Caenorhabditis elegans: one gene and its partner. The protein of the gene in region 2 purifies or fractionates together with the protein of the main gene of each other region. This does not show direct contact. Each region holds a gene or a part of one and is shown on either strand. Other genes may lie near its edges.

What was found.
Region 1: the proteins of tba-7 (region 2) and tbce-1 fractionate together in Caenorhabditis elegans (co-fractionation; one large-scale study listed by BioGRID). This does not show direct contact.

Annotation. Positions count from the first base shown.
Region 1 is NC_003282.8:8,293,174-8,297,838, reverse strand, and holds tbce-1 (Tubulin-specific chaperone E), read right to left. Parts: upstream 3,150-4,665; coding exon 2,983-3,149; intron 2,720-2,982; coding exon 2,236-2,719; intron 2,154-2,235; coding exon 1,742-2,153; intron 1,692-1,741; coding exon 1,438-1,691; intron 809-1,437; coding exon 644-808; 3' UTR 556-643; downstream 1-555. Other genes in the region: nprl-3 (GATOR complex protein NPRL3), read right to left, coding at 13-88, 133-212, 303-346; K07H8.2 (SLC41A/MgtE integral membrane domain-containing protein), read right to left, coding at 3,558-3,740, 3,794-4,665.
Region 2 is NC_003281.10:11,367,837-11,373,518, forward strand, and holds tba-7 (Tubulin alpha chain), read right to left. Parts: upstream 3,953-5,682; 5' UTR 3,940-3,952; coding exon 3,723-3,939; intron 3,695-3,722; exon of another isoform or gene 3,485-3,694; coding exon 3,183-3,484; intron 3,130-3,182; coding exon 2,959-3,129; intron 2,029-2,958; coding exon 1,514-2,028; intron 728-1,513; coding exon 598-727; 3' UTR 515-597; downstream 1-514. Other genes in the region: pugs-8 (Cystatin domain-containing protein), read left to right, coding at 183-395, 448-513; dpy-18 (Prolyl 4-hydroxylase subunit alpha-1), read right to left, coding at 5,209-5,376, 5,525-5,682.

The sequences.
Region 1 (4,665 bases), on a different chromosome or scaffold from region 2:
ATTTAAACGAACTCTTTGACACTTGTAAGAACTGGCTTCACACATTGTCCTGGATTAGAGCTGGAAGGTTGTGGATCTTTCGATGGAGCTGAAAATGTTTTTTTTTTTGAGATTTTATATTGTTCAGATTACCTTTGGTAGCTGGTTTTCGATGTGGATAAATAGATACAATCTTTTCGCCGCTTTGTCCAGTGAGAAAACACATCACAGCACTGAAAATTCAAAATTATTTTTATGATAAATTGAACTTTATTCAACAAGATCACAAATAACTATTGATTTTCAGTAATTTAAAAACTCACTGAAGATGACTTTCTCTCTCGAAATCCACTTCTTTCGCTGACATTCTTCAAAAATTCAAAAAAGATTTTCTGGTATGCAATAGTAGATCACAGTACAAAAAAAACCAACAATAGTTGCGAGACCCATGCATATGACGAAATTTTCAAAAGTGAAATTTTCACTGATTGATTTTATTCCATAATCGGAATAATTGTAAATAGTATTGAAATCGATACATAACGGATAGTATTTTTAACGGACATTTTCGCTGATAAGAAATTAAGGAATTTTATGCAAGTTAAAGCTCATATATTTTGTAACAAACAATAAGTTGTGCAATAAATAATCTTCCGGTAACAATTCAATCATGTTCCACAACAAGAATATCTCGATCTTCTGAAGGTGAATAGTGTCCAAATTCTCTTAACGGATTTTCTAGTTCAATTCGGTGTTGTTTGGCTTTTTCACTCATAACGAGGTATAGACGGATTTTCGATGTATTGGGGACTTTGAAGAGACGAGCGAGCTGGAAAAAATAAAATTTTTGATGGAAGTATTTAGCCTCTATTTTTTGATGAAACTAGCCTCTATATGGGGACGCAGAAAAAAACACTTTAGACATTGATCTGAAAACACGCTCAACGGTTAATTTTAAATGCTCCGCCCACAAACTATGGGTCTCGTTAGGTATTAGGCGACAAAACCGTAAATTAAAATGTTTCAATTAGTTTTACTGATTTCGCCTATTTTTAAACATTTTTCGTCTTTTTTTGGTTCGTTTTTCATTCTTTAATGATTTTTATGTCGAAGAGATGTTTAAAAATGAAATGCTAATGATTTTTTCTATTTTGTCTCAAATTTTTATTTCATTACTTTCGGCATAAAAATCTTTGGAAACAACGGAAAACATAACAAAAAATCTTTAAAATTAGCGAAATCGGCAAAACAAACTAGAAACGTTTGATTTTACAGTTTTCTGTCAAATACCTAGCGAGACCCATTGCTCGTTACGTTTTCAATTGGAAGTGGAGCGCGTTTCTGCGTCCCCAAAATAATCGAATCAAGATAATACATTTTTAAATTAAATTCTTTGCATTTTCAAAAGTACATGCATGTCTTCTTGATTCAAATAATAATGATTGTTCATTTGCCTACCATATCTCTAATTTTCTGTATGCTCATTCCCAATGGAAGCCTTCGTGTCTCCACTCGATTTCCACATTCAATTCTAATTTTCACCACCGCAAGGCCCTTTTTTGCTGTATCAAGTGTCGGTTCTCCATGAATTTCAATCAGTCTTTTGATATCGTCTTGATGATCTTCGTTATCATTTAGACCGGCATATTTGTTCAGAAATCGAATTTCTGCAGACCTTCGTTCTACTTCTGACACATCAAACCTATTGAGATCTAGAAAAAAACATCTACTTTAAATAATTTTTAATATTTTTGAAACCAACCTATTAAAGTGCTCAACTTGGCAATTACAATCTCATAGGCATGGACACCCTTTTCAGTTGATAATTTTTTGCAATCGAACAATAACCGTTTCAAACTTTTAAGAGATCTAATGGAATTTACACTTTTCCATTCAACAATTGAATTTCTTTTTATGTTCAGATATTCGAGTTTCGGGAATTTTATCGAACCATCGAATCCGTTTAAGCTCGTAATTCCACAATTCGCCACAGAAAGTTGTGTCAAATTCGGAAAAGTTCCGTGAATGGAATCTAGTGTTTTGAATGGATTATCTTCGAGATCGAGGGATGTAAGACGAGATGAAACAGCTTCAGAAACTGAGAATCTTGTGAGATCATTACCAAACGCCACGACATCTGATGTAGAGGGGAACCGGAGAAGAATCGAGTCGATCTGAAAAATAAAAATAGCAATTCTAGACACTTTTTTTTTAATATTTCATTGGTATTCCTTTAACCTTTAATCTTTAACCTACCGAATTCTCAGATAAATTGCATTCACTAATGACCAATTTCTTACAACTATCCGAATAAACATGATCATCTCCTTCTGATTCATCATCATCTTCTTCTTCATTGAAGCATTGCATGCGATTCCTTCGTAAGTTGAGTTCTTGAATTCTAGGAAAATATTCAAGAATCTGACGAACTGTTTTCCATTTGTACAGTAGATTTCCATAAAGATTAAGTTCACGACAAAGTATAAATTGGGGAGAATCCGAGGAAGGTGGGAAGCCGACTGATCGATTATCAAGAACAATATTTATAAGTTTCTCGATATTGCTTTGTTTTGCAGCCGTTTGATCCATTCCGATCAACTCGATCTTCTTATTGGATTGCGCCAATTCAATTTCAGTTTCGACGCTCTCTTCCTCGATGTATCTGTCTTTGATTTCAAACAATAGATCAGTTGGTTTCGGTACTATTTCATGCTTCATCAATGATCCTCCATTTGGATGTCTGAAAATTTGAAAGTTCACACTTTTGTGACTAGTTTGTATTATTTAGTGACGAATTTTTAAGGGAAAGTAATTGGAGTGTTAAATACGGTAAATAATCCCCCGACACTGTATATTTAAAAGTTCATGGAGACCGCCATAAAACTATGAAAATGTGTACAGCGGAGATCACTTCCATTTTTTGTCCCAATTTGGAATTCATTTCCGACAGTTTCGAATGAGAAATGTCTATAGAATATATTTCTGATGAAAATGTCTGTTAACCTCGTCTGAAAGTATCGTTTTCCTCTCACAATTCCATCATGTTTTCCACGTGTCGGATCATCCCACTCCAATCCAACCCATCGTTGACTACCGTATCCATCGACTTCTCCAATATATCGAACTGTTGCTACTTCGAAATTTATTCGAACTCGTTGTCCTATTTCCATCTGGAAAATTGTTTTTTTTCTTGGCCCATCTTGTCAAAATTATTGGACCACTCGCGGAATAAGATGTCCAGAGATAAAAATTAATTAAATTTAAAAGTTCAAATTAACTTATTTATTCCCAAAAAATACATAGTGACTAGCGGAAAATGCAAAATGTCTATTAGATATGACCAAAAATAGCTAGAGAGAAAAATGGATCACAATGTACAGAAAATTATGCGCTTGACGGCAAATGGATATCAATCAACTCATCGGGTTTGACTAGAGTTCTGATGAAAGTGCGTTAGTTGTGAAAATGAAAAATTAGGTTAGCGAAATACTGTTTTACATGCAGATGGGGGATGAGAACCAATCTATAATAACGGGGATGCAGTTATACAATGTGGTAAAAGTTTGAACGTTTTAAAATTATGACGAAGTGAGTTCCTTTGGATCAAAATGGTCAGTAGTGAGGAATACTATGAATAGGAGTCCGGTTCCTAGGAGATCTCCAAGAGCTGTAAGATATGGAATCACAGAATTATCTGGGTCAATTTTCCATTTCCAAAGAAGAGCGACGAGAAGTTGACAAACGAATAGAAGTATGACAACCTGCAATTTTTGAAATTTTGATTATATATTTTAAATTTTCGATAAAACCTTACCTGAATGATTGCCGCAATCATATAAAGACTGGTGAAAAGTGGTCCATGGGGTGTCACATTATTCTTTGAAGTCAAAGTGAATAACTGGATAAGGAAATTGAAGCAAATATGACCAGGAACAACGAGTAACAAAAGAACTCGAGCCGATCGAGAATCCCATTCTTTTGAGAAGAATGCACGCTGAACACTGGTAAATCGACTGACAGTCCATTCATTCGGAAGAACTCCAACTGTGCCGGCTTTATGGAAATAAGTAGAGAGTCTGCTGGCTTGAACAGCAGCCAAATTCCCTCCAACACCATTCAATACTGGACCGTATGTACTCAAGCTATGATATCTTCGGACTGCGGTTTCTAATATAAATCCTCCAGCACTACTGATAAGCATTGACATGATGACTGGTGTCCATCCATTGTAGAGAGTCTCCTGTGTTCCTTCATTCTCGTTGGCAATTTTTATCCAGAAAGGAAGGAGAAGAAGGAATAATACAATCACGATAACATTGAGCCAAGATTCAGTATTATGAGCTTTGAGGAACACGGATCCGAAGAAAGCCAGTACAGTGAGTGTCGTCAGATCTCCAAGTGATGCAGCAATTGGTGTGGCCACATTATCGGGATTGATGTTGTATTTTCGAGATGTCACAATGACAACCACCATTAACAGTGATAGTACGAGGGATGCACTACATGCTGTAGCTAGGCTGCTTGCACACATCAATGCACCATGAGCCCAATCGAAATCCCCAGAAGGAATGAAAGCGAGAGCAGCGGCAAAAGCAGAAGCGAGGAAAGCGACGACAGTAGCCTGAACTTGCACAAGTGCCAAGTTGGCGATGACTACATCTTTTCGTTGTTTTGAAGAATCCATAT
Region 2 (5,682 bases):
GGTAAAATGTAGCAAATTTCATTTTCCACCACTTTTTAGTTGACAACTTTTTGGTATTTCGCTCTCCCGCTTAGGTACAAGCTTTTGAAATTTGCAGACTGAAAGCTAACTTACCCCTGTTACAATTTAAAAATTCTTGTAACTCGGAAAATAAGCAAACTTTAAAAATTTGTCTTCTACAGGGCCTCGCTTGGGAAGCCGCCGCCACCAGCGTCAACAACGGCAACCGCGGGAAGTTCTGGGTACCCATCGAGATCCAGAGCTCGGATAAAAATGGAGCAGTAACAAATCTCGTCGTGGTATTCCAAGAGTCGTGGTGCAGTGTTGAGGAGGGAAATGATCTCGAGGATGTGTGCGAATCTATGTGCCCAGTATATTATGGAGGAGCTAAGGCTGTGAGTTTTATTTTTATGGAGAGCTCTTAGATTTTAAGCTTCGGAATTTCAGACATATCGTGTCACGGCTACCGAATCCAACGGGGGAAGTGATTTCGAATCTGTTAGAATTGAATAGAAAATGCTTTAATCTATCTTTTGTCAGTTAATTTGTACATAATCAATAATCACCTAATAGCTTTCCAATAAAAAGTTTTATTTTTCAATACTCATCATCCCCATTATCATTAGCATCGGAATCCGCGCCAACCTCCTCATAATCCTTCTCCAAAGCAGCCAGATCTTCACGTGCCTCGGAGAACTCGCCTTCCTCCATTCCCTCGCCAACGTACCTGGAACAAAGAGGTGTTTTGACAAAGAGGTGTTTCGACATTTTACGGGTCATGCACTGGGCTGCTGGGCAGCCGACATTAAATAGAAGCGCGTATCTCAGCTTTGGTCTTGTAAAACCCTATGTAACTCCACGATGAGCAGAGCTATCAAAAAGTTGCAAACTTGAGAAATATTTAGAATTTAATTTTCTTCATTTTGCTAGTTGACAACTTTTTGCTAACTCTATTCTGAGCTGTTAATTGCGGTTTGAAGTTGAGGCATCACTCCCACAGCTCCCTCATGCTTTCTCTAACTTCAAACTTGCTTAACTCGACAGTGAAAAACGTTATCAAAAAATGGTCAACTAACAAAATGTTTAAAATTAAATTTTCTCTATTTTGCTAGTTAACAACTTTTTGATAACTTTATTCTCAGCTGAGTTATAAACGTTTGAAGTTACGGCAACACTTCCGCAGTTTTGTCTAACTTCAAACTTGGTTAACTCCGCGGTGAAGAAAGTTATCAAAAAAATTTCAATTAAGAAAATATTTAAAATTAAATTTTCTATAATTTGCTAGTTGACAACATTTTGCTAATTCTATTCTCAGCTGTGTTATGATAGTTTGAAGTTGAGGCAACACTTCCGCAGTTTTGTCTAACTTCAAACTTGGTTAACTCAGCGGTGAAGAACGCTATCAAAAAATTGTCAACTAACAAAATATTTAAAATTAAATTTTCTATATTTTGCTAGTTGACAACATTTTGCTAATTCTATTCTTAGCTGAACTATGAACGTTTGAACTCACCAATGCACAAAAGCTCTCTTGGCATACATCAAATCAAACTTATAGTCCAATCTCTGCCACGCCTCCGCAATTGCCGTAGTATTCGACAACATACATACCGCCCGTGGAACCTTTGCCATATCCCCACCCGGGATTACTGTAGGCGGCTGATAGTTCAATCCAACTTTAAACCCAGTCGGACACCAGTCCACAAACTGCACGGATCTCTGAGTTTTGATCGATTTTATCGCAGCCGACACATCCTTCGGCACAACGTCTCCACGATACAGTAAACATACAGCCATATACTTCCCGTGCTTCGGGTCACATTTTACCATTTGATTTGAGGCTTCAAAGCAGCTTTTCGTTATCTCATCAACTGATAGGAACTCGTGGTGGGCTGAAGAGATCAGTGGATTGTAGGCGACAAGGGGGAAGTGGATTCTCGGGTAGGGGACCAGATTGGTTTGAAATTCGTTTAAATCCACGTTGAGAGCACCGTCAAAGCGTAGAGATGCCGTGATGGAGGAGACTACCTGGAAATTTTTTTATTATTTTCATAAAAAATTCGTTTTTTTAGTTAAAAGTACTGTGGGTTACTATAGTGGTACTATAGCAGTACTGTAGGATTACTGTAGGGGTGCTACAAGAGTTCCGTATGGGTACTGTAGGATTGTTGCAGGGTTACTGTAGGGCTACTGTATGATTAATGTAGGGGAGCTGTAGGGTGGCTATGTCCTAGGAGGTAGGAGGACAAGGAAATAAGGCCAAATATTTATTTATGAATAAGAAGAAGGGGGGAAACAATAGTGTATATATTAAGGGATCAGTAAGGGGTGGAGGGTCCAGAAAGGATGGTAGGGGATTCTACATCTAGAACCGGTTGATGCTTGAACCATGTTATATGCACAGTATAGCGTCTTATATACCATACGTACAAATCGAATTATGCTAATGTTGGGGGCGAAGGTGGTAATGTGATGGGAACGAAGGGAATATTGTTTCCCTATGACTAATAGAAGATCAGAAATCATAATCAAAGAGCAAGCGATTTGACAGGCTATAGGGGAATCGTAGGATTACTGTAGTGGTTATGTAGTAGTAGAACTGCAATGATACTGTAGGAGTACTGTAGTGGTACTGTAGTAGTACTGCATAAGTATTGTAGTGATATAGTAGGACTACGGTAGTGGTACTGTATGAGTACTGTAGGAGTACTTTAGGGGCACTGTAGTGGTACTGTAATAGTGTTTCCGGAATACTGTATCAGTGTTGTAGGAATACTGTAGGACTGTTGTTATGATACTGTAGGGGTACTTTAGGATTACTGTAGTGGTACTGTAGGAGAACTGTTGGAGTACGGTAGGATTACTGTATTTTTCAAACGTTTTAAAAAGCTGACTTTTCGAAGGCGTCTCAGCAAAATTTTTTCAACTAAAACAAAAAAATTTGAATCCCCTCCAAACCTGAGAAATAATTCGATTCAAATTATTGTACGTTGGCCGCGAGACCCGCAAATTCCTCCGGCAGATATCATAAATCGCCTCGTTATCAACCATAAATGAGCAATCTGAGTGCTCCAAAGTGGTGTGAGTTGTCAGAATTGAGTTATAGGGCTCTACGACAGAGGTGGAGATCTAAAAAAAAAAATTTAAATTGATATTCAATTTTTAAATTAAAATAGTTTAACCTGTGGAGCCGGGTAGATCGAAAATTCGAGCTTGCTCTTTTTGCCGTACTCCGCGGAGAGTCTCTCCATAAGCATAGAGGTAAATCCACTGCCAGTACCTCCACCAAATGAATGGAACACAAAGAATCCTTGTAATCCTTCGCAGTTATTCGCGAGTCTTCTGATTCTGTCCAGAGTAGTGTCGATGATCTCTTTACCCACTGTATAGTGGCCACGGGCGTAGTTATTTGCGGCGTCCTCTTTGCCAGTGAGCATTTGCTCTGGGTGGAACAACTTTTTATAGGCTCCCGTGCGGATTTCGTCTGGAAATTGAAAAATTAGGGGAAAATTTCAACAAAAAACCTCGGAAAGACTAATCATGCTAGCACGGATATCTTCAGGACATGGGTTTGTGTCTTCATTGGTTTTGAACCAGTGACCTTCAGAGTGGCAGGCAAACACACTGCCACTCGGCCACGCGTGCATCACCGCCGGCGCTCAGTAAGTGTATACTTGAAGAGTGGGGGTTACATGAATGAAGGGTAAAGAAAAATTGCATACCGACAACAGTTGGCTCCAAATCCACAAAAATCGAGCGTGGCACGTGTCTACCGTATCCAGTGTCCGAGAAAAAAGTGCCCAGAGAGCCGGAGTTCCCGTCGGGCTCCATCGATGTCCCATCTGGGAGAATTCCGTGCTCCAAGCAGTAAAGCTCCCAGCAAGCGTTTCCGATTTGAACTCCCGCCTGCCCCACGTGGATTGAGATTACTTCTCTCATAGTTCACTGTACTGTAAAAAACTAGATTAACTATAAGTTAAAAAAAAACTAAACGATCAACAGAAATTTCGCAATAGGAATTGCAAAATTTCAAAATTTCAAAATAAAATTTTTTTAAACCTTAACTTTTTGAAAGCACATATCTCGCTAATCCTTAAAGCTAGAAAAAAAAATTGCAACATACAATTTGTAGAAAAATTTCTTATCTACATTTCCCTAGTTGACAACTTTTTGATATCTCTCATTCCTACAAAGATACAAGCATTTGTAGCAAATAACCAGTGACGCTTATGTACTACAACTTTACACGGTTGCAACTTGCCAACCACAACAGTTACTAAAAAATTGTTAACTAACAAAATATAGCAAATGAAATTTTCTACAATTTATCAGTTGACAAAATTATTCTAGCATTCATGCAAAGATACAAGCTGCCAAAAAATCTAAGCCAAAATTTCAAAATTTTGCTTAAAACGAGTTGGAATTCAATTTTTTCGAAAACGAGAATGCCAAAAAAAGGAGTTTCATATAAAGATGTTTCATAATATTTAAGCACTGATAAGAAAAAGAGCAAACAAACATAATAAAACGTTTTTGGCGGTCTGTCAATGCGAAAAAGTGATGATGAGAAAATGATAAAACTACGGAAAAAGGTAAGCAGGAGAAGAAAAATTCGGAAGTTTTCGGAAAATCAATAATATCCAGTGTGTGTGCAGCCGACACCTTACGGGTTGCTATCTAGCAGCCGACACTTAACAGGTTGGCAGCGGACATCTCAAGGGTTTTTATTCAGCAGCGGACGCTTAATAGGTTGACAGCCGACACGTTACGGATTCCTATCTAGCAGCCGACACTAAACAGTTTTGTAGCCGATACGATACATGCTCTCACTCAGCAGCCGACGCTTAAAAGGTTGGCAGCCGACCTCTTACGGTTTTTTATTTTGCAGCCGACGCTATACGGGGTTTTACTCAGCAGCCGACACTTAATAGGTTTGCAGCCGACCTCTTACAGGTTTCTATTCTGCATACGACGCTTTACAGGCTTGCAGCCATCACTTCACAGGATCCACTAGGGAATTGTCGGCTGCTTTCAAATAACATAATTAAAAAGTAAAAAATAATTTATTCACGGCAAAGAAAAAGGCAGACAACTTCATCGAAGGCAACAAGAGAAAAAAGAGAAAACATGTAAGAAACCACCCGGTAGTGTGTGGGGATAAATTATGCGGCACAAAGAAAAAAAACAGAAAACAATGAAAACCAATGCTTAGAGGGTCTCCCAGACGTCTTTGGCAAGATTTGGGGACACGTTTGGAGCATTTCTTGGCTCTGGGCCGTATCCGAGGTCGCCGACGAATCTTTCGTAGTCTGAGGATTTCAAGCCGCATGGACGACGGAACTCGTTGCCCTTCTCGTGGATCCATTTGTTGGATACCTGGAAAAACAAGTTAAAATTCGAATTCCTCATGAAATTGTGGTCCTAGAGGTGTTTTTGTGGGTTACTGTAGCTGCGAAAGTACGCAAATACCGATATAAGAAGCGACCGACATTTCGCGGGCTCCCACCAGAAACAAAAAACTAACCCATTTGATTCCGACAAGAACGGGACAGGCGGCGTGACGGGTGTCTGGGTTTCCGTCTCCTTGTTTGTACAAGTTATACCAGAAGAGAGCATCATTCTTGGTGGGCAGAATTGTAGACTTGGCCTCAGTGAAGACGGTACCTCCTCCGTGAGATGGTT